Macaca fascicularis: one gene and its partners. The protein of the gene in region 1 purifies or fractionates together with the protein of each later gene. This does not show direct contact. Links are inferred from orthologs where the notes say so. Each region holds a gene or a part of one and is shown in the gene's direction. Other genes may lie near its edges. The genes, in order: ARMC8, TCEAL9, ZMYND19, HTRA2, MAEA and RMND5B.

Region 1 (4,130 bases):
GAAGGACTACCTAAAATAAAATTCCTGCCTTCCAGGAACTCAACAGTTTGTTAAGGAACACAGACCCATAAACAGGGGTGATAAATGCTATTCTAAATTTGGAAACCAAGTACAGGAGGAAGACAGGAAAACAGTGAAGAGCAAAGTGAGGGAGAGGCTATCAGCTACAAGACCAGTTGGAAGGCTTTTGCTCTAGTCCAGGGGAGAGGTTACAAGAGCCTGAATTAGGGTGTGGCTATAGAAATGGAAGGAATACAAGTAATGTTAATAGGCTAATTGCAACCCTACTGTGAAAACCTTACTGGTTGCAAGCAGTACGAAGGTGAAACTTGTCCAACCAAGTCAAGGGCAGTGTTGCGCGCGCGCGCACGCACGCACACACACACACACACACACACAAAGTAGTAGGACAGCTGAATTAATCAACTATAATTAAAAGCATACTTTTATTTGGCTTCGGTTATCAGAGTGTTTTAGTGTGAAATATTTAGATATTTGCCCCCATTTTCCCCACTTAACTCAGAAGCTGGAGAAACATTAACACATATGTATAACGCTTTCCATGTTTTAGGTTTTTTCTTAGCGCTTCACATTTGTTGACTCCTTTATCCTCATTAACCTTTATTTTACAGATGAGGAAACTCAAAACATAAGGTTAGATAACTTACCCAGGGTAAAGCAGCTGAGAAGTAGCTGGGAAGAAGCTCAAGCATTCTGGCTATTCTCAACACTACACCAGAATAAACGGGGCCGACACACAACCTAAGGCAAGTCACACTTCTGTACTGGATCGTGAAACAATCACTCTTATGGTTGACAAAGGTTCTGGGATCGCAATTTCCCCACCTATAAAATGGAGATAACGACGCCGGGAGTTTGGTGCAGAGAGAGAGAGAATGAATATGAAAGTGAACTTCAAACTATGTATATGGCTCCACGTACTACTTTTTCCAAATATGAATACGGGAACCCACAAACTGCAATTTATCAGTCGGTAGAGCTCGTAGCGCCAGGGCGAGACTCCGCCTCTAGGGCCCCGCCCACCGCGAGCGGCAGGTGGGGCCGGCAGATCTTCTTTGCGCATGCGGAAACCGCTGCCCGCTCCCACCTCTAAACCAGGCTCAGAGTAGCTGCTGTTTCTGAGAGAACGATTCGTAGGACAGCCCCTGACGCGATTCCCTTTTGCCCTTCTTTCTGCGGGCCTTTCTGGTACTTGAGCGGTGTCCAGAGCGTGACCAGTTCTCGTCTATCCGGCTGTCTTTAAGGAGCGATGACTAGCGTTGGCCAATAGTTGGCTGTCGAAAGTGCCGGCCCCCGCGCCGGCGCCTGCAGCAGCCGGGTGGGAAGGCTCAAGATGGCGTGCCTGTTAGAGACCCCAATCCGCATGAGCGTCCTTTCGGTGAGTGACCCGCTGCGGCCGCCCGCCCGCCCTCCAGGGAGCCCCATCCCGGTCTCCACCATTCCCCCAAGCGTGGTGTGCCTCCTGGGCACCACCCCCTGGGGTGGTCCCCGGCTCAGTCTTGGGCCAGGGAGTGAGCGAGGGTGGACAGGCGGGATAGACGGGCAGAGGGGACCCCGGCCGAGCCAAAGACATTTCCAACTCCGGGAGCTCCTGCCGGTGCGGGTTTCCAGGATGGCGTCTGGCAGGCGGGGTAGCTGGGCTTACAGACAACTGGCCCGGCGGCGCGGCTTGGACTTTGCCAAGCGTTTCACTGAGCCTTCCTCTTAGAGATGCCGCTTCCCGGGGGCCGAGCGCTCTGCCTTGTGAAGCGCCAGGCTTGCAGCCGGCCTGGGAACGAAAGCTCACTCAGCTCTCCCGGGCTTTGGCAAGAAGAGGTGCAGGCTCCTTGGCCCCCATTTCCTCAGAGCTGCCAGGCCAAGTCTGTGCGACTTCTATTGCGTCCCAGCACCTGGGCACCGGCTGAAGCTGTTTGCTTTTTGGCAATGGTGATTCGTATCAGCTGCGACTCTTCCTAGTGTGTGTGGTTATTTAAGCCCCTTTCCTCCGCTCTGCTCAGAGGTCGCGGCTCTGAGTCAAAGGAACTCTATGTTCCCTGTGCCTGGTATTCCGTTTTTCTTTAAGGGGAGTCAAACATTGAAGGGGGGAAAAGGGGGAGAGATTTCCCCATTGTTGAAAGAAGGGAACGTATTGACATGCGAGGAAGTAAAACCTGTTTTGTTTTTTTTTAAAAAAAGTTTTTTTTAAAGAAAAAGACGACTTTCACCTTTCACTATGTTGCTCTTGAACCAGGACCAGGAATGAAAGTTACTGGGAGATAACTTCGAAGGATTTTGCAACAAATTCGAGCTGTCCGACTCTGAGAATGGTCAGTTTACCAATGGTTCATTTGCTATTGTTGGAAACAAGCAGGCACATACTAATTGACCATCTTTTAGACTTGTGGAAGCCCGTCTGATACTGAGAGGGTCGTTGGATTATAAATGACTTGTCGGGTTCCTAGAGTCTTGTAACTACAACCGGTTTCTTTTCTCTTCTCTGACTTGTCCCACAAACACCTATCTGAAAGCAGCTAGGACATTTGCTTATGATTCAGGGTTAGAGCGGTGTGGCAGACCTCAACCTTGAAAAGGCTTAAGTTGTCAATACAATAATAATTTAATTTTGTGAGCCTGTCAACAGATTTTTCCCCCGATCCATTTTAGCAGTCGTTTTTTCTTATTTTTAAACTGCAACTAAGGAAATACCGTTTACCTAAGTATTATATCAGATTAGCCTGTTACTCCATCACTGACTGTAATACCCAGGAATATTTTGTGGGAGTGCAGGCCAATGACTTTTACCTCATTATGTTAAAAAATAAAAATAAAAAAAGTGTGTGTCTTGGCTGTTCTCAGTTCCCCTTTAATTATGCATTTAGGTTTCATTTATTCTTCAGTTCACCTGAAGCTTACTTTTTGGATGTTGTCAACTTGTGTGATGCATATGATTTAAAGTTTTCATTTGTTTCACTTCCTTGGTAAATAATGTTTTCTGCTTATTCAAAAACTTCTTGAAGAGTATTTTCTATCAATACTTCTATTTACAATTTGCCTTTAGCCCTAGTCTAATTAGGGGCTTTTTTTTGGGGGGGGGAAGTAGGAGCTTTTGGGTAAATGATTTAAAATGTTTAAATTCACTGATTTTACTAATTTAAAGTAAAACCTGTACCTTTCAAAGTACTACCCAGAGCACCACGTTTTGAAACGCAAACTAGAACAGGAAGTATTCATCAGAAATTATCTTGAATGGTTGATTCCTTTAATAAGCTACAATGTACCAGTTATGTACAAGCTCTGCATTGTATACCTTAGAGAATGCAAGGATGAGATCAGAAATGTGTTTAAGGAGCTCCTAGTCTGAATGATGGTGTAACTTGATAAACATAATTTCAGCAAGGAGGCCTTCAAGTTGTTTTAAAGGATTTCCATTTGAGTCTCTTTATACCTTCTCCTTGGGAGATCTCATTGATTTTCTTATAACCTTAACTGATCAGTTCACACATCTACATTGCCAACCTTGACTTTCTTATACATCTAGTCTTGTATCTTAAATTGTGTGTGGATGACACCCATCGCTTCCAGCAAAGCACATTCCTTCTCCTAAGGGGAATTAGTTATGACTTCCCAATTTCTGTTAATGGTATTATCTTTTACTGATGAGTCACTGTTAAACCTCCTGAATAATCTCTGGTTCTTCCTTCTTTCATCCCCCTATATCTATCAGTTGTTAAGCTCTGTTGCTTCTTTATTCTTAGTGTTTCTCGTATCTTTCTGTTCCCATGACCACCCTCATTCAGGACCTTGTTGTTTTGTGCCTGCACTACCACAGCGTCCTTTTAGTTATTTTTACTGTCTCTAGTGTCTTACCCCCTCAGTGCAAGCCCAATGTCTACATTAATTTTCCTAAAGAACTCTGCACAGCTGCTCCTCGGTTTCTTTTCTTTATTGAGTTTGTTTTGCCTAAAGGCCCAAGTTTATATTCAGCTTCAGAGTTGAGATTCTTTATTTTCTTCTTTATCTTCTTTTTTGTTTTTTGAGATGGAGTTTTGCTCTTGTTGCCCAGACTGTAGTGCAGTGGCACTATCTTGGCTCACTGCAACCTCCGCCTCCTCAGTTCAAGAGATTCTCCT
Region 2 (3,640 bases), on another chromosome or scaffold:
TCATTTTTATTTTCAATAGATCTCAATTCGATGAGCATATGCTATTATTCCCTTCTGTCAGATGAGGAAACTCAGGCTCACAATGTGTACCTGACAATTGATTAACTGATGATTCTTCAGGCAGCACAGCTTCCTGGTAACACCACCATGAGGACTCTGGAATCAAACATTACTCTTTTTAAAAAAATTTTGAATCATCTTCCTCACAAATGTGTAATATAACAACAGCTTTCACTTTAAAAGCACTTACTATATGCCGGGCACTATTCTAAGCACTGTACATATATTAACTCATGTCATTAAAGTAATTTTGTCTTTGTATTTTCTGACTATAAAAAGATAAAAGTTGCCCAATTCAGTGGCTCAGGCCTGTAATTCCAGCCCTTTGGGAGGTTGAGGCAGGAGGATCACTTGACCCCAGGAGTTGGAGACCAGCTTGGGGAACATAGACCTTGTCTCTACAAAAAAATTAAAAGACTAGCTGGGCATAGTGGCACACACCTGTAGTCCCAGATACTTGGGAGTCTGAGGCGAGAGGATCGCTCGCGTTAAGGAGTTTGAGGCTGCGGTGAGCTGTGATTGCGCCACTGCAACCCAGCCTGGGCAACAGAGTGAGACTCTGTCTCAAAAAAAAAAAAAAAAAGAAAGAAAGAAGAAAGAAAAAAGAGAGAGAAAGATTAAAGTTACCTTTAAAAAAAGAATATAGAAGTATGAAGAATAAACAGTAAAAATTGCATTAAAACATCTCACTCTTGTTCCAGGGTCTTTTGTTGTTGTTTCACAACTGCTGCCAAGCCCACCCTGCTCCACAACAGCTAAGAACCAGATTGCAGAGGAAATGGAGGCTAGGGGAGGGCGACTGATGGAGGAGTTATCCTGGGAGCGGAAGACTGGAAGAGACAATTCTCGAAAGAAGTAGAAAAGTTCAATAGCTCCACAAAAAGAGGTAGCCCCTCCCTAGTAATCAGAGTCAAGCAAATAACATTTTTCCCTCCGGGATAGGAAACAACAGAAAAGACTGACAGGGCCAAATGTGTAAGTGGGGGGCGGGGAGGGAGCAGAGGGTGGGCCCACTTCTGCCGCGCTTTTGGTGGGAGTGGAAATTAGGGACCCGAGCTCACTGGTGACGTAGATCTCATGTGACCAGGAGTCGACGTGTGCAGAAGTCCTGGTAGTCTGGTCCTTGTTCCCGTCTGGATACCAGCTTCCTTCAGCAGTGCAGGCGGTGGTCCCTGAGGCTAGTGGAAGGAGTGAAACTTGCGGGAATTTTGCAGGTTGGTGTCAATGTAGGTGTTGACTGGGGATTTCTAGGGTGGGGGGGCTTAAGGCAGAGACTTGTGGGAGTGCCAGTCAGGTCCGTCTCTCCACCCTCCACCTCCAGGTCTACAGGAACTGATGACCCTTGGGAAAGGGACTAGGGGTCCTAGGAGAAGAACAAGTAGACCTGTGATAGTTTAAAAATAATCGTCCTCTGCTATCTAATCCTGCTTTCTGGACCCCCACCCTCCTCCCGAACCCGCCTCAGTCTTAAAGATAGTTTGGAAATAATCTGCTTTCTCACTCTTTGTTTGATGGGAAAAACGAAGTGACTTGCATGCACTGTGGATAGGGGGTGAACTGGAGGAAACAAAAGGTGGGAAACTTTCCATATTCGAAACCCTAAAGGAGGAAAGCTACGTGTGTCAGTCTCTGGCGCTGGTCGGCCCACCAAGCGCTCGCCCCACCCCCACCGTCCCCTCCCGTTTCCCGTTTGTCTGCAGGTCTGTTGTTTCTAGCAAGACCCAAAGCTAGAAAAGGAGGAGGAAGAAACTGACCCGATCAGTGCCAGGTAGGTGAGAGGAATATTATAAAGTCTCCTGGGGTGGAGACAAAGGTTGTAAGCTCCACTGTTCCTGCCGGCTCCCTTCCACCCCACCCCTTTCCCCTCTTCTTTTCTCTCCCCCTTCTCCTTTCCCCTCTTCCTCTGCCTGCCAGCCAGCCACCTTTCTCTTTTCTGGCCTGGTCCCTGTGTTAGGCCCTATGGGGGAAAAAGGATTGGGGAGGGCTGGGAGGCGGAAAGAAGGGCCTTGGAAAAGGTTAGAGGGAAGGACAGGAGAAGTGAGGAGGTGGAAAGTGGAGGTAAGAGGAGTGGGGATAGTGAAGCTCTGATTGCTGACTGGGCTTCTTAGTGGAAGATATTTTATAACAGTCTGAATAAAAAAAAATTAAATGCTGAGACCTCTGTCCACAACACCTGTCCACTCACCAAGTCTTTAACTTACTGTCTTCTTTTTGCTTTCTAGAAGTTATTGTATTCCAAGAAGAATAAGCAAAAAAATAAAAGAAGGAAGGAAGGAAGGAAGAGAGGTAGAGATACAAGATGAAATCCTGTCAAAAAATTGAAGGAAAACCAGAAAATGAGAGTGAACCAAAGCATGAGGAAGAGCCAAAGCCTGAGGAAAAGCCAGAGGAGGAGGAGGAGAAGCTAGAGGAGGAGGCCAAAGCAAAAGGAACTTTTAGAGAAAGGCTGATTCAATCTCTCCAGGAGTTTAAAGAAGATATACACAACAGGCATTTAAGCAATGAAGATATGTTTAGAGAAGTGGATGAAATAGACGAGATAAGGAGAGTCAGAAACAAACTTATAGTGATGCGTTGGAAGGTTAATCGAAACCACCCTTACCCCTATTTAATGTAGTTTACCTTGATTTTTATCTGACATTAACAATACCATATAGCTTGCTTTTTATTAGCATTTCCTGATATTCCTTTGTCCATATTTCTACTTATAACCTGTTGCTATTAATGGTTTTAGATGTATCTCTTGTTATCTGCATCTCATTGTTTATTGTATTTTGAACCAATCTACAAGTCTCTGTCTTTTAATAAAAGAACTTTACTCATTTGTAAAAAAGAGGTTCTTGGTAGGATATAAAATGGAAAAAAGGCTAAGTAATATGTGAATATCATATTTTTGAAAGGTAAAAAGTACATTTGTATATTACATATATGGACATAACTTGTGAAGGATGAAAGAAAGTATAGCCTCTCGGTGGTGGGATTATGAATGATTTTTCTCCTTTTGCTTATTTGTATTTTCTATATTCCTAAAATTAACACACATTATTATTGCTAGAATAATAAAAGCTTTATAACAAAAAGAAGCAACAAGCAGCACTTACTAGTTTATTTCAAAACGTATTGGGGCATTTAATATTTGTTGACAGAATTTTAGAAGCAAATGTGAACTTCAAAGCAACTCCAGACCACTTAGCTAGAATAATAAATTTTACATATTTTCTCATCTTTAAAATAAAGAAAATAATCTCACAAGGATCTGGTGCGGGCCAAATAAGGTAATGACTGTGAGCTATGTTTGACAGAGTTTTGTTCCCATTCCCAACTCCATAAGAGATTAATTTCAGGGATTTGGAAGGGTGGAGAAAGTAGTTCTTATCTGTGATTAAGAACAAACCCAAGGCTGGGTGGCTCACACCTCTAATCCCAACACTTTGGGAGGCTGAGGTGGGCGGATCACGAGGTCAGGAGATTGAGACCATCCTGGCTAACATGGTGAAACCTCATCTCTACTAAAAATACAAAAAATGAGCCAGGCACGGTGGCGGGCGCCTGTAGTCGCAGCTACTTGGGAGACTGAGGC
Region 3 (3,500 bases), on another chromosome or scaffold:
TCTCAGGCCCGAATGGAAGTGGATGCAGATGGAAATGGTGCTAAGATATTTGCCTATGCCTTTGACAAGAACCGAGGAAGGGGCTCTGGGAGACTCCTTCATGAACTGCTGTGGTGGGTGTTTCCAAGCTGCCTCTGCCCCCTGCCACTGGGCTCCTGGGTGAGCTCCGATGGCACAGGGCGCCTGGAGCCCCCTGCCCCACTGAGGCCCTGCCTTGCCTTCCCTGAATCTCGCAGTTATTTTTGTGTGCTTTGCCACTAACTCAAAGGAATGAATGATTTGTATGTTACGCTTCAAACACCAAGTGGACTTTCTGCTGGAAGCTTGCCCAGGACTGGTGGCCTCTGCAGGGACGGTGGTTGCTCCCCTTGCTGGTTTTTTGCTGAGCCCCCTGGTGTGCATGGTGGGGACCACTCAGATGGGGAGCTGTCTCCAGGCCATCTGCTCAGGTGGTTTTACGTTCCACCCTTGGCTGTCTGTGCTCCGAAGTCCAGGGCCCAGGTCCTCCCTGTATCCCTGTCCTGTTTGGGCCACAGATCAGGTGCTTGGGTTTCTCTTGGCAGCTTCCGCCTGAGGTACCCTCCTCCAGAGGGGTAGGGGCCTGATCACATCACATGGCTGACGTTTCTTCCTGGAGGACTTTGGTTATCTGTGAGGGTGGGAGGCAGCGATGCAGGGTTAGATGCAGGGTTTGCTGTCTGTTTGTAGGGAGCGGCACCGGGGGGGCGTGGCCCCGGGCTTCCAGGTGGTACACCTCAACGCTGTGACTGTGGACAATCGCCTGGACAACCTGCAGCTGGTGCCGTGGGGCTGGCGGCCCAAGGCTGAAGAGACCTCCAGCAAACAGAGGTGGGTCTTCTCAGGGCCCGGTGATGCTGGCAGAGGTGCCTTTTGAGGAGGGCCACCTCCAAAGCTCTTGTTTCCAAGAGGGTCTCGTGTTCCTCCTCTGAGCCCTGATGCTTCTGTGTGTTTTGGGACTTTCATTGTTTTTCCCCAAAGTGTGGAATCCTCCTTTTCTTTATGGGAGCGTGAAGGATCTTGGTATGTGTTTTTGCATTGCTCTTCTGATAATTGGCTCTGGGAACCTCCCTTTAGCTGGCATGACAAAGCGGGGAGAAGGGCTGCCTGCTCCAGGGCAGGGCCCGCGCTGGGACTCGGTGTGAGCAGGGCTTGTGCCCCACACCCCGGGAGGCATCAGCCTTCTCACCTCAGGATTCCTCCCTTCTCTCCTCACCCTAAGATTCCTCCCTTCTCTCCTCACCTCAGGATTCTTCTCTACTCAACTCAGGATTCCTCCCTTCTCACCCCAGGATTCCTCCCTTCTCTCCTCACCTCAGGATTCTTCTCTCCTCACCTCAGGATTCTCTTCTCAACTCAGGATTCCTCTCTCCTCACCCCAAGATTCCTCCCTTCTCTCCTCACCTCAGGATTCTTCTCTCCTCACCTCAGGATTCTCTTCTCAACTCAGGATTCCTCTCTCCTCACCCCAGGATTCCTCCCTTCTCTCCTCACCTCAGGATTCCTCCCTTCTCTCCTCACCCCAATATTCCTCCCTTCTCTCCTCACCTCAGGATTCCTCCCTTCTCTCATCACCCCAATATTCCTCCCTTCTCTCCTCACCTCAGGATTCCTCCCTTCTCTCCTCACCTCAGGATTCCTCCCTTCTCTCCTCACCTCAGGATTCTTCCCTTCTCTCTTCACCTCAGGATTCTTCCCTTCTCTCCTCACCTCAGGATTCTTCCCTTCTCTCCTCACCTCAGGATTCTTCTCTCCTCACCTCAGGATTCTCTTCTCAACTCAGGATTCCTCTCTCCTCACCCCAGGATTCCTCCCTTCTTTCCTCACCTCAGGATTCCTCCCTTCTCTCCTCACCCCAAGATTCCTCCCTTCTCTCCTCACCCCAGGATTCCTCCCTTCTCTCCTCACCTCAGGATTCTTCTCTCCTCATCTCAGGATTCCTCTCTCCTCACCTCAGGATTCCTCCCTTCTCTCCTCACCTCAGGATTCCTCCCTTCTCTCCTCACCTCAGGATTCCTCCCTTCTCTCCTCACCCCAGGATTCCTCCCTTCTCTCCTCACCTCAGAATTCCTTCCTTCTCACCCCAGGATTCCTCCCTTCTCTCCTCACCTCAGAATTCCTTCCTTCTCACCTCAGGATTCTTCCCTTCTCTCCTCACCTCAGGATTCCTTCCTTCTCTCCTCACCTCAGGATTCCTTCCTTCTCTCCTCACCTCAGGATTCCTTCCTTCTCTGCTCACCTCAGGAATCCTCCCTTCTCTGCTCACCTCAGGATTCCTTCCTTCTCTCCTCACCTCAGGATTCCTTCCTTCTCTCCTCACCTCGGGATTCCTTCCTTCTCTGCTCACCTCAGGATTCCTCCCTTCTCTCCTCATCTCAGGATTCCTTTCTGTGCACACAGATGGGTCTTTTTGTTGTGTTCTTTTGCTAAACAGTTTTCGTTAAGCAAAAGTTTAAAGCAGAGAATGTGTGGTTCAGGGCTCAGCCCTTGGCCCCCCACTTGCCTGTGATCCTGAAAGCGGTGCTTTGCATGGGCTTCCCACGTGGGAGGGCAGTTCCTGCTGGCCCTAGAATCAGCCAGGCTGTGAACTTCATGGAGCCCTTGGGAAGAGCCGAGGGACCAGCAGGATGGGGGTTGGGAACCCAGATGAGCCAGAGAGTCCCCAGCCACACACGCTTCGCTGACATGTTCCCCAGTCGCGCTGGGGCTTCTGGGCATGTCCTCAAGCCTCTGGGCAGCCTTTCCTGGTGCAAGCAGTGCGAACTGCCCTAGCAGATGGTTATCAGCAACGCTGGTAAGGTTTAGTGTTTTGGGCTTGGTGATGGTTGGTGGCTGTGGGTAGAATCTTTGCAGTTGTCACCTCAGGGTCATGCTAGAGCCCCGTGCAGCCGAGGTGGAAACAGTGGGAGCACCTGAGACACTGGTTGGTGATGTGGGGACAGTCCCCAGGTCTCCAAAATGCCACCCCCAAACTGCTGTTCCTGCCACCCTGGAGGGAGTCCTGCAAGTCTCCCCCATCCCCTCCTCACTGGGCCTCTCAGGATGAAGGCAGAGCCTGCGGTGTCTCTCGTTCTTGTTGGGCTAGTGGTTTTGTTCCCTGCTCTGTTTATTTAATGTAATTAATTAATTTTACAGATGGGTCTCACTGTGTTGCCCAGGCTGGTCTCAAACTCCTGGCTTCAGGAAATCCTCCTGCCGCAGCACTCTTTTTTTTTTTTTTTTTTTTTTTTTTTTTTTTTTTTTTTTTTTTTTTTTTTTTTTTGAGACGGAGTCTCGCTCTGTCACCCAGGCTGGAGTGCAGTGGCCGGATCTCAGCTCACTGCAAGCTCCGCCTCCCGGGTTTACGCCATTCTCCTGCCTCAGCCTCCCGAGTAACTGGGACTACAGGCGCCCGCCACCTCGCCCGGCTAGTTTTTTGCATTTTTTAGTAGAGATGGGGTTTCACCATGTTAGCCAGGATGGTCTCGATCTCCTGACCTCGT
Region 4 (4,051 bases), on another chromosome or scaffold:
TTGACCACCTACCCAGTTGGCACCCGATACCTGTGCTAAACCCACCTGAAGCGCAGGAGCCCCTCCCGGCCATTGGTGGCCTCTTCCTCAGGGAATAGCAGCAGAGGAGTGGGGGGAAGCCTCGTGGAAGCACAGAATCTCTTGAGTGACTCCACCAACTCCCCCCGCCCATCCATCTCCATGAAGCCCCGAGACCAGCACACAAAGCTGGGGGGACTATTAAGTAGAGGCTGGGAACCAGGAGAAGAGAAAGCAAGAAGAAAAAAATTGAGGAAAATGAAAAAAAATGACATGTGGGGTAGAGGATCGGGGTTAGGGGTAAGGCTCAGTATCCTCCATGGGGAACGCGAGTGGGACAGGGGGGCCTTCAGCTGGGCCCCAGGGAACCGCCCCGTGGCGCTCTCGGCCTCGCTCTCACTCACGGTGCTACAGGTGGTGAGCAAATTGACTATGTTGTGGTCGAAAGGTGTCACGTGGTTGGAAATGAGGACCCTGACACTGTGATCCCGGAGTCCGGAGTCCTCCTGCCGGGCCACGAGCCCCAGCACCGCACACATGGTCCGCACTACGAACCTGGGGACACAGGCGGTGGTGACTGTGTGGCCTCGGGCCAGGCCCAGCTTTGACACTCCCCAAACGCCCGCGTCAGAACCTGCGAAGGACGCTGTCTGGCAGCGCGCAGCTGACCAGGAAGACGTGAATCCCGAGAAAGAGGCGCAGGACGAGGAGGCAGAACCCGACCGGCGCGTAGAGCAGCAGCGCGAGCAGCAGGAAGCAGTCACCCGGGAGCCTGGGGGCGAGAGGCGAAGTGGTCGGGCGCCGAAGGCCGAGAGGACGCAGGGGTAGGTCTCTTCCCGCCGGGTCTCTTACCGGTGCGAGTCAAAGAGCCGCTCCGGCCCCGGCCCTGAGGGAAGCTCCATAACTGCTGCTTCAGGAGCGCCCAGCCGTCGCCGCCGCCATCTTCGCGCCCGGCCGCAGGGGCTCCTGGGAAGGCGGAGTCTTTGGGCATCCGCCCGGGGTGACAGGACCCGAAGTCTTGAGGCGCGCCGGAAGGGCTAGCGGTCCCAGCATACCCTGCGGCCCCTTGGGCCGTCTCACAACTCGCGTCCCACGGAGACCACAATTCCCGGCATTCGCGGGACGGGGAGGAGTCGGCCTCCCGGAATCCTGGTCCCGACGTGCACTTCTGGAGGACTTCAGGTACCGGCGTGCCCCGCGTCCTACTGTCCGCCTGCTCGCGTCCCGGGTGCCGCCTCTGAGTAGGGCGGGCGAGGAGGCAGCCGAGGCGGAGCTGATGGCTGCGCCGAGGGCGGGGCGGGGTGCAGGCTGGAGCCTTCGGGCATGGCGGGCTTTGGGGGGCATTCGCTGGGGGAGGAGACCCCGGTTGACCCCTGACCTCCGGGCCCTGCTGACGTCAGGAACTTCTGACCCCCGGGCCCGAGTGACTTATGGGACCCCCAGTCTCTGGGCCCGGTTGTGTGTTGGGGTCCCTGAACCCCGAGCATGTCTGACGTCTGGGACCCCGGGTCCCCGGGCACAACTGACTGCGGTGACCCCAGATACCAGGACCCGGGAGGCCTCAGAGAACTCTGGAACCCGTTCGCGCGCGTGGCTGGCTGTGGCACTGGGCGCTGGGGGGGCAGTGCTGTTGTTGTTGTGGGGCGGGGGTCGGGGTCCTCCGGCCGTCCTCGCCGCCGTCCCTGGCCCGCCGCCCGCTTCTCCCCGGAGTCAGTACAACTTCATCGCAGATGTGGTGGAGAAGACAGCACCTGCCGTGGTCTATATCGAGATCCTGGACCGGTAATGGGGGTAGACCGGGAGGCACTGAAGCCACGGGCCGGAGGGCGGGCAGGTAGGAGGGGTCAGGGCCTCCTCATATCCGTGCTTTCCCTCCATTCCAGGCACCCTTTCTTGGGCCGTGAAGTCCCTATCTCGAACGGCTCAGGATTCGTGGTGGCTGCCGATGGGCTCATTGTCACCAACGCCCATGTGGTGGCTGATCGGCGCAGAGTCCGTGTGAGACTGCTTAGCGGCGACACGTATGAGGCCGTGGTCACAGCTGTGGATCCCGTGGCAGACATCGCAACGCTGAGGATTCAGACTAAGGTGGGGGCTGGGGTAGGCCAGGTCTGGTTGGAGCTGCTTGTTTGCTCGCATCTCCAGATGACAGGTCTCTTATACCCATTCTCCCTTAGGAGCCTCTCCCCACGCTGCCTCTGGGACGCTCAGCTGATGTCCGGCAAGGGGAGTTTGTTGTTGCCATGGGAAGTCCCTTTGCACTGCAGAACACGATCACATCCGGCATTGTTAGCTCTGCTCAGCGTCCAGCCAGAGACCTGGGACTCCCCCAAACCAATGTGGAATACATTCAGACGGATGCAGCTATTGATGTGCGTCCTGATAGGAGAGAAATGACACATGATGGGGGAGTGGGGAGAGGCTGTGTGGTACAAGCACCAACTGATATATGGTGGATGAGCCTATATACAGAGCTTAGGCTGCAAAAATGTGGCCACTCATTCATGGGCTGAGAAAGAAGAGAATTTGGAGAAAGTACCTACATCCTGGTATGCCCCCAGACTTAGAATCCTCAGATCTCTTTCATGTTTTCTCCTTGTCCTGCAGTTTGGGAACTCTGGAGGTCCCCTGGTTAACCTGGTGAGTGAGACATCCTTCCTTCCAAGAATCCCAGCCCCAGGTCTGTGTGGGAAGGGTAGGTTTTCCCTAATTCAAGGATGTTTGGTCAAGTTTCTGAGCAGTTCTTTGTTGGCTATCTCTCAACATCCAACTGGATCTCCCCAACACTTGCTGCTACTTTTGTTCGGGTGCCCCCATCCCCTACTATTTGTTTGGGCTAGGGAACTGGGGGATGTATCCCTGCAGGATGGAGAGGTGATTGGAGTGAACACCATGAAGGTCACAGCTGGAATCTCCTTTGCCATCCCTTCTGATCGCCTTCGAGAGTTTCTGCATCGTGGGGAAAAGAAGAGTGAGCCTGGCTTATGGGGAAATACGGGAGGGGCATTCATTGGGACTTCCTGGAGGGTGGTCTATTGGGAGAAGAGGGCAGGGAAGGAAGGATGTAGCTGGGTGGGGCTTATTTGTCCCTCTGTCACAGATTCCTCCTCTGGAATCAGTGGGTCCCAGCGGCGCTACATTGGGGTGATGATGCTGACCCTGAGTCCCAGGTATGAGCTTTAGGGATAGTGACATGTAATGTGACCAGTGTAATCAGAGGTGGGCACCTCTATTGAGCTTTGTTCTCATTTCTGTCTTTATCTAAAATGAACTGTGTCACACTTGAAATAATCACAAGAGCTGTCTCCCTTCATCATCTTGACTTTCTTATTCCACTCCACTTTGTACACCTGTCAGACTGATTTCATCCTGTTACTGCTTTGATTTCAAGCCTTCAATCCATTAACTTGGCATTTAAGGGCATTTTCCATCTGTCTGTAAATCAACTTTCTAGACCTGGCTGTAATACCTTCCTATATGAATACTCAGCCAACCTGATTTCCTACTCCCATGTTTTTTATTTATGCTGTTCTTGTTTTATATGGTTAATATTGGACCCATCCTTTTAGGCTCAGCTTAAGTTTTTTCCCCTTAAAGCTTCTTTTAGTACTCTAGAATGACATTAGTGCTATTGATTTCATACTGTTTGTCATTTGGTGCCCTCATGTGGTGTACATCTTTTATGTACATGTTGCACTTTATTGCTAGAAGACAGAAAGTGAGTTGCCGTTGTATTTTGTAGTACCTAGCGCATGTCCTGTCCATCTATTTGCCAATGTGTTGATGAGAGACTTGAGGTGGAACTCAGGATGGGGAGAATGCCTGGGTTTGGCTAATAGGGTGATCTGTGTACTTTCAGCATCCTTGCTGAACTACAGCTTCGAGAACCAAGCTTTCCTGATGTTCAGCATGGTGTACTCATCCATAAAGTCATCCTGGGCTCCCCTGCACACCGGTGAGGGAGAGGCTGCAGTGTGATATGGGGATGGGTGAGGTGTGCATGTGTCCTTGAACTAGGCTTTGTACTCCTTCT
Region 5 (3,500 bases), on another chromosome or scaffold:
GTCTTGGGAGTGGGTCTCCAGGTGCCAGGGCCTGGTCAGGGAAGTCTGGCCTCACCCGTCTGGGGTTTGATTGATAGTGAGATAAGATGCGTAAACCAGGTCACGCAAATGAGATCTCATAGATACAACCACAGAGATTAAATTCCCTCTTCAGCAGCTCTGGGAGGAGGTGAGATGCCCGTTGAATGAAACAGCCCTGGTGGGCCGTGTTCTGGGCACGTCTTGGCGTAGGACGAAGGGTGACTTGTCTCCAGAGATGGAATGAGGGGGTTGGGTGGGGCTCTTCGTGGACTCAGACACACCCCCCCACACACTCCAGGAGGGAGATGCACAGGCACTGGAATCTCGGATGGCCATCCCCAGCCCCTGTACATGCACCCTGCGGGGTCGACCGTGTGGACTCACCCCCGACTCCCAGTCCCTGCATATGTCCTGCGGGGTTGGCCGTGTGGACTCTCCAGGCTGGGTCCCAAGCCTGGGCACCCCCCGCTCCCTGCTGCCCCAGGCTCCCCTCGTGGTGCCTCCACCACATGGTCACCGTGCCATCCATCAAGGGGCTGCGGGGGCACCTCCTGCGCTAACTCCAGTCTCTGCCAGTCACTGCCTCTTCTCCGAGGCCACCGTGAGCACCCAGCACCTCCTCAGCCCCGTGTTCCTGGGTACATGCCTTGTTCTGGACAGCACAGGGCTGACTCATACGTGGGACTTGAGGTTCTGTGCATTGGGGTCGCTTTGGGGGAGGGGCCTTGAGGGCTGAGGACGTGGGGTGCACAGGGGCCCATGTGAGGGTCGGGACATGGGGGTGCAGGTCCTCAGGACAGCCAGAGGGACGGTGACCCTGTGTGTGTGGGGGGGCATGGAATGGGGGCCCTTGGGGTGAGCAGGTGCCCTCTTGATCAGCTCGAAAGGGGCCTGTCGTGTTCTGCTTTGGTTTCTTAGTTGTCTAGCCACAGACTGGAGTGGGGTTCTGTCCTGGAGCGGGCCTGTGTGCATCTTGCAGAGTTGGCTCAGGAAACATTGTGGCTGCATGTGGTGTGTGGCAGGCTCAGGGCTGAGAGGGCTGGGCCGGATCTGCAGGGAGTCCAGCCTGTGGGCTGAGGGAGGCTGTTCTTTGGAAGGTTGTGCTGGGTGTCACTGCCGAACAGCAAGGACTGCAGTCGAGCAGACTACACATTCTTGGTCCGCTGGGTCCACTGGGGCCATAGGGGCCACGGAGGCAAGCATCCAGGGTCAGTGGGAGTCCTTAAGGTTTGGGTTCCTTGTAAACCAGAATCGCTTTGGAGAGGCCTGAGGGGCAGGTGCCATTTGCAGTTCTGGTGTTTTCCGTGGGTTGTGTGTGTGGCTTGGGTGCCCTGTCCCTGGGGGAAGGAGTGTCTGGTAGCTGCTTCTCCAGCCTCAGGTGAGCTGCACCTCCTGCCATCCCAGCCCCACTCAGCAGGTCGGCTTGGAGTGAGGCGATTACTTTGTACCTAGACTCTGACATAAACGCTGTTAGCTCAGATTTTTCAACTTAAGAATGCAGGCCGGGTACAGTGGGTCATGCCTATAATCCCAGCACTTTGGGAGGCTGGGGCACGAAGATGGCTTGAGCCCAGGAGCTGGAGACCAGCCTGGGCAACACAGCGAGACTCTGTCTCTAATAAGACGTTTTTTACATTAGCTGGGCGTGGTGCCGCACATCTGCGGTCTCAGCTTCCTGGGAGGATCGCCTGAGCCCGGGAGTTCGAGACTACAGTGAGCTGTGACTGTGCCACTGCACTCCAGCCTGGGTGACAGAGTAAGACCCTGTCTCTAAAAATTAAAATAAAAACGCAAACTTACATGTGCCAAAATGTTGTTTTTTAGACACGCGAGAAAGCACTTCAGCCAAGCAGAAGGGAGCCAGCTGGACGAGGTGCGCCAGGCCATGGGCATGCTGGCCTTCCCGCCCGACACGCACATCTCCCCGTACAAGGTAGGACCTGCGTCCGCGGGTCGGTGTCGTGATGGGGTGGGGATGCAAGGTGTGTCTCTGGTCTGTAACTGCTGCCATACACGGGGCAGGACGTGAGGGCCCTGTCCCAGCCACACGGCCTGTCCAGCCTGCCAAGACAGGCTTTTCTTGTTCAATTCCCATTTTGCTCGTAAGAATTTTGAATCAGGGCTGTGTGTGGCGGCTCACCCCTGGAATCCCAGCACTTTGGGAGGCTGAGGTGGGAGGATCACTTGAGCCCAGGAGTTTGGGACCAGCCTGGGCAACATAGTGACACCCCGTCTCTACAAAAAAAATTTTTTTGTAAATTAGCTGGGCATGGTAGCACCTGCCTGTAGTCCAGCTACCCAGGAGGCTGAGGTGGGAGGATAACTTGAGCCCAGAAGGTTGAGGCTGCAGTGAGCCGAGATTGTGCCACTGCACTCCAGCCTGGGTGACAGAGCGGGACCCTGTCTCCAAAAAAAAAGTTGAATGAGAAAGATTCAGGAAGCTTTTAAGCCTGGCGTGTTCAGCCGGGGCCCAGCTTCCTTGCCCTGTTCCCTGGTTCTCCTTTGTCTGCAGCCCGAGTCAGGTGTTAGGCTGCACCATCTTCTGTGGTTTCCATGGTCCTCGTGCGACGTTTTGTATTTTACCTGTACATATTGGAGCCTCCAAGTCTCCGTGGTCACTGGGGTAGGGGTGGGGGTTCTGCCATCACTAACCAGCACCCTGTGCTCAGACCTGGACCCAACCCAGCAGCCAGCTGCTCCCGGGTGAGTGGCTCCGCTCTGCACCCATGCCCACCCCTGCACCCACCCTGCCCCCACCGTGTGCCCACCCCTGCACCCACCCCGTGCTGTGTGCCCACCCCTGCACCCACCTCTGTGCCCACTGTGTACCCACCCCTGCACCCCCTCACATGCCCGTGTGCCCACCCCTGCACCCACCTCTGTGCCCACTGTGTACCCACCCCTGCACCCACTCACATGCCCGTGTGCTCACCCCTGCACCCACTCCCATGCCCACTGTGTACCCACCCCTGCACCCACCCCCATGCCCGTGTGCCCACCCCTGCACCCACCGCCGTGCCCACTGTGTACCCACCCCTGCACCCACCCGCATGCCCACCGTGTGCCCACCCCTGCACCCACCCCTGTGCCCACTGTGTACCCACCCTTGCAACCACCCCATGCCCACCGTGTGCTCACCCCCATGCCCACCCCTGTGCTCATCAACGCTGGGAACAGTTTCAGTTCCTGGAAAAGGGGGAAGCGGATGAAACCTCCTGGAGTTGACAGTTTGTTCTTTGAGCCTGGCGCCGGTCTCTGTCAGAGGCAGGGGTGTTTCCCAGCAGCCCCCACCCACCACCCTGTAGGGACTGCAAAGCCCTGGGCAGACCTAGACCTGCTGCCTTCTGAAAGCTGCTGGAAGCTTTCTCAGCCTGAATTCTCCTGGATCTCAGGCGTTTGGGACATCTCGTAATAAACCATCATTAGGTCAAGAGGATCTTCGGGGGTGGAGTCTAAGCTTCCCAGATTGTCAGTTGGCA
Region 6 (3,500 bases), on another chromosome or scaffold:
TAATCCTAGCACTTTGGGAGGCTGAGGCGGGCAGATCACTCGAGCCCAGGAGGTCAAGACCAGCCTGGTCAACATGGCAAAACCAATTAGCCAGGCATGGTGGCACATGCCTGTAGTCCCAGCTACTTGGGAGGCTGAGGCATGAGAATCGCTTGAACCCAGGAGGCAGAGGTTGCAGTGAGCCAAGATTGCACCACCGCACTCCAGCATGGGTGACAGAACGAGACTGTCTCAAAAAAAAAAAAAAAAAAACACAACCAGTGGTATGTGGGAGATACTTTGATACCCTATAAATGTCCTGCTCTTTACCAAATTTCAGCCTCTACTCGTTTTACTATCCATTAATGATTGTTGTGTGAATTATTACTAAGCTGTCTGCAACATGGTGATTTTTCCTGCTTTGTCATTCTTTATACATTTATTAGTTGGCATTCAACTGTAAAGCTTTCCTTTCTCCTTTCATTATTATCACTTTACACTCATATTCTTATTGTATTCAATAGGTTATAATCCATTACGGTTATTTAATGTAATGTTCAAATTGTCTTAGGTCTGACCAGCGGGAGTCCCTGGTTCCTATGTCTTTTTTAAAAACTGAGCTACAATTCACTTACCATTAAACTCACTCTTTTAAAGTACAACTCTGGCCGGGTGCAGTGGCTCATGCCTGTAATCGCAGCACTTTGGGAGGCTAAGGCAGGTGGATCACCTGAGGTCAGGAGTTTGAGACCAGCCTGGCCAACATGATGAAACCCTGTCTCTACTAAAAATACAAAAATTAGCTGGGCGTGGTGTCGCATACCTGTAATCCCAGCTACTCGAGAGGCTGAGGCAGGAGAATCTCTTGAACTCGAGAGGTAGAGGTTGCAGTGAGCCAAGATTGCGCCAAGGCTGGACTGCACTCCAGCCTGAACGACAGAGCAAGACTCTGTATCCAAATAAATAAATAAAGTACAACTCTGGATGGGCATGGTGGCTCATGTCTGTAGTCCCGGCACTTTGGGAAGCTGAGGCAGGTAGATCACTTGAGTCCAGGAGTTCGAGACCAGTCTGGGTAACATGGTAACTCCGTCTACCAAAAATACAAGTATTAGCCAGTCTCATAACCCGGTCTTAAAATAAATAAATACATACATACATAGATGAAAATTTAAAAAATAAAGTACAACTCAGTGGTTTTCAGCATATTTACAGAATTGTACAATCTTCACCACTATCTAATTTCAGAACATTTTCATCACCCCCAGAAGAAACCTAACCCATTAACTATCTCTCCATTCCTCCCTCTCCCTAGCCTCTGGCAACCACTAATCTCTTTTTTGTCTCTATAGATCTGCCTATTTTGGACAGTTCATATAAAAGGAATCATATCACATGTAGCCTTTTGTGTCTGGCTTCTTTGATTAATGTGACCTTTTCAAGGCTTATCTATGTTGTAGCCTGTATCAGCACTTCATTCCTTTCTATGGCTGAATGACAGTCCATTGTATGGATGTGCCATATTCTTCCACTGATTGATGGACATTTGGGTTGTTTCCACCTTTGGGCTATTATAAATATCACTGCTATGAATATTCACTTACAAGTGTTTGTGTGGACATATGTTTTTATTTATTTTGGTGTATACTTAGGAGTGGAATTGCTGGATCCTATGGTAACCCTATGTTTAACTTCACAGTTAAACAGAACCCTATGCATGCTGTAGTGCGTGAGTTAAAATAAACACTCGGCCCATAGTAAGTGCCAAATCATCTTCATTTCACTATAATTTTACAGATGAGGAAATGAAGGCTTCCAGAGGTGAACTGGCTTTTCCCATTTGACCAGTTCCAAGTCAGACAGTTAAAAAGTGGCAGGACCTGGAAGAGAAGCTAGTTCTTTCACCCTGGCATTTAGGGCTGCCTCCTGGGCCACGGGGCTGGCATTTAGAATAGAGGAGGCAGAGCTAAGGTCTGCTGCCAAGGCAGGTGCCCCAGTCTGCCTCCTCTGTGTCCTTATTCCACTTTCTCTGCAGCCCTCCAGGGGACCCCTCTCTCAGCCACCCTCTCTCTGGTGATGTCACAATGCTGCCGGAAGATCAAAGATACTGTGCAGAAACTGGCTTCGGACCATAAGGACATTCACAGCAGTGTATCCCGAGTGGGCAAAGCCATTGACAGGGTGAGCACATGGCTGGCTCCAGGCCTGGGCTGGGAGTACCCTGAAGCTGGGATGTACAAGGACTCGAAGGAGAGCCAGCAAGAGTGCCCACATCACCAGGCCCTGTCTCTCCTCCTTTGTCAGAACTTCGACTCTGAGATCTGTGGTGTTGTGTCAGATGCGGTGTGGGACGCGCGGGAACAGCAGCAGCAGATCCTGCAGATGGCCATCGTGGAACACCTGTACCAGCAGGGCATGCTCAGCGTGGCCGAGGAGCTGTGCCAGGTACAGCCGGGCCGGGCAGGTGCTGACAACCTGCCTGCTCTGCCTTTCACCTGCTAGTTTTCAGTATATGAAGTCCCTGCCATTCTTCAATTCCGTTTATTTCCTAAAGGAAATCAGCGCCTCTGCCAGAAGTAGAAGGTAGCTTTAAAAACGTATATGATGAAAAGAGAAGTTACTCATTTCTAGTTAGAGTTGGTTGCCAGCCAGGGTTCAGAGCTGAGGCCTCATATCCCTTTATTGAAAAGGGAGATGGATGAGTGAAATGACAAAGTAGTACTTGTTAGGTGTTAAAGACACACTGGTGGTAAAAGTAAAGATTTTCCCTACTGTACTAGGAGGATTGAAGAGGAATAATTTTCTCGCCATGCAACTCCGTGTGTAGCCTGGGGACTGTCTCCACTGCTACGGTTGTAGGGTGGGGTTTGCAGTCCGCACTCTGGAGGTCAGCATGTCTACTCAGCCTCCCCAGGATCGAGATGGGAACAAGAGAGGCCCAAGTGGCTGGCACGAGACCAAGCTCCTCAAGCAAAGCCCAGCTCTCTCTGGCCTGTCTTTGGCGGGTGAGCTTTTATTATGTGCACAGCAGAGAACTTTGGAAACACCATCTTGCAGTGGTGGGATCTCTTCTCTCTCTCCTTGTAGGAATCAACGCTGAACGTGGACTTGGATTTCAAGCAGCCTTTCCTAGAGTTGAATCGAATCCTAGAAGCCCTGCACGAACAAGACCTCGGTCCTGCGCTGGAGTAAGGAGGCCCTTGGGTGGGCCAGCAGCACTCTGCTCTCCGACCTCTCAGGGCACAGGGCTTGACTGCGGTCTTCAGTTCACCCAGATGTACTTGACTTGCCTCCAGCCCTGTCTCAAGAGCCTCACACAGGCTTTTGGGGCCCTCCTCTCAGGTCCTGGCTCTCAGGTCCTAGCCCCCACCAGCTCTACACTAAACTGGCCCCTTTCTTCCCAGATGGGCCGTCTCCCACAGGCAGCGCCTGCTGGAACTCAACAGCTCCCTGGAGTTCAAGCTGCACCGACTGCACTTCATCCGCCTCCTGGCAGGAGGCCCGGAGAAGCAGCTGGAGGC

The links.
Region 2: the proteins of ARMC8 (region 1) and TCEAL9 purify together in Homo sapiens (affinity purification with mass spectrometry; 3 studies listed by BioGRID and IntAct, with this or other methods). This does not show direct contact. The link is inferred for Macaca fascicularis from reciprocal best matches to the Homo sapiens genes ARMC8 and TCEAL9.
Region 3: the proteins of ARMC8 (region 1) and ZMYND19 purify together in Homo sapiens (affinity purification with mass spectrometry; 4 studies listed by BioGRID and IntAct, with this or other methods). This does not show direct contact. The link is inferred for Macaca fascicularis from reciprocal best matches to the Homo sapiens genes ARMC8 and ZMYND19.
Region 4: the proteins of ARMC8 (region 1) and HTRA2 purify together in Homo sapiens (affinity purification with mass spectrometry; 5 studies listed by BioGRID and IntAct, with this or other methods). This does not show direct contact. The link is inferred for Macaca fascicularis from reciprocal best matches to the Homo sapiens genes ARMC8 and HTRA2.
Region 5: the proteins of ARMC8 (region 1) and MAEA purify together in Homo sapiens (affinity purification with mass spectrometry; 5 studies listed by BioGRID and IntAct, with this or other methods). This does not show direct contact. The link is inferred for Macaca fascicularis from reciprocal best matches to the Homo sapiens genes ARMC8 and MAEA.
Region 6: the proteins of ARMC8 (region 1) and RMND5B purify together in Homo sapiens (affinity purification with mass spectrometry; 4 studies listed by BioGRID and IntAct, with this or other methods). This does not show direct contact. The link is inferred for Macaca fascicularis from reciprocal best matches to the Homo sapiens genes ARMC8 and RMND5B.

Annotation. Positions count from the first base shown.
Region 1 is NC_088376.1:41,022,409-41,026,538, forward strand, and holds the start of ARMC8 (armadillo repeat-containing protein 8), read left to right. Parts: upstream 1-1,330; 5' UTR 1,331-1,354; coding exon 1,355-1,399; intron 1,400-2,196; exon of another isoform or gene 2,197-2,324; coding exon of another isoform or gene 2,325-2,327; intron 2,328-4,130. UniProt on the Homo sapiens protein: Component of the CTLH E3 ubiquitin-protein ligase complex that selectively accepts ubiquitin from UBE2H and mediates ubiquitination and subsequent proteasomal degradation of the transcription factor HBP1.
Region 2 is NC_088395.1:109,735,736-109,739,375, forward strand, and holds TCEAL9 (transcription elongation factor A protein-like 9), read left to right. Parts: upstream 1-1,145; 5' UTR 1,146-1,274; intron 1,275-1,760; exon of another isoform or gene 1,761-1,828; intron 1,829-2,282; 5' UTR 2,283-2,359; coding exon 2,360-2,677; 3' UTR 2,678-3,140; downstream 3,141-3,640. UniProt on the Homo sapiens protein: May be involved in transcriptional regulation.
Region 3 is NC_088389.1:1,728,941-1,732,440, forward strand, and holds part of ZMYND19 (zinc finger MYND domain-containing protein 19), read left to right. Parts: intron 1-6; coding exon 7-113; intron 114-708; coding exon 709-849; intron 850-3,500. UniProt on the Homo sapiens protein: May be involved as a regulatory molecule in GPR24/MCH-R1 signaling.
Region 4 is NC_088387.1:47,414,458-47,418,508, reverse strand, and holds the start of HTRA2 (serine protease HTRA2, mitochondrial), read left to right. Parts: upstream 1-1,251; 5' UTR 1,252-1,294; coding exon 1,295-1,800; intron 1,801-1,901; coding exon 1,902-2,106; intron 2,107-2,195; coding exon 2,196-2,390; intron 2,391-2,625; coding exon 2,626-2,658; intron 2,659-2,883; coding exon 2,884-2,989; intron 2,990-3,118; coding exon 3,119-3,188; intron 3,189-3,877; coding exon 3,878-3,973; intron 3,974-4,051. Other genes in the region: lipid droplet-regulating VLDL assembly factor AUP1, read right to left, coding at 46-573, 653-790, 871-920.
Region 5 is NC_088379.1:1,447,686-1,451,185, forward strand, and holds part of MAEA (E3 ubiquitin-protein transferase MAEA), read left to right. Parts: intron 1-1,845; coding exon 1,846-1,954; intron 1,955-3,500.
Region 6 is NC_088380.1:184,918,431-184,921,930, forward strand, and holds part of RMND5B (E3 ubiquitin-protein transferase RMND5B), read left to right. Parts: intron 1-2,014; coding exon 2,015-2,160; intron 2,161-2,283; coding exon 2,284-2,424; exon of another isoform or gene 2,425-2,900; coding exon of another isoform or gene 2,901-2,984; intron 2,985-3,066; coding exon 3,067-3,167; intron 3,168-3,383; coding exon 3,384-3,500. UniProt on the Homo sapiens protein: Core component of the CTLH E3 ubiquitin-protein ligase complex that selectively accepts ubiquitin from UBE2H and mediates ubiquitination and subsequent proteasomal degradation of the transcription factor HBP1.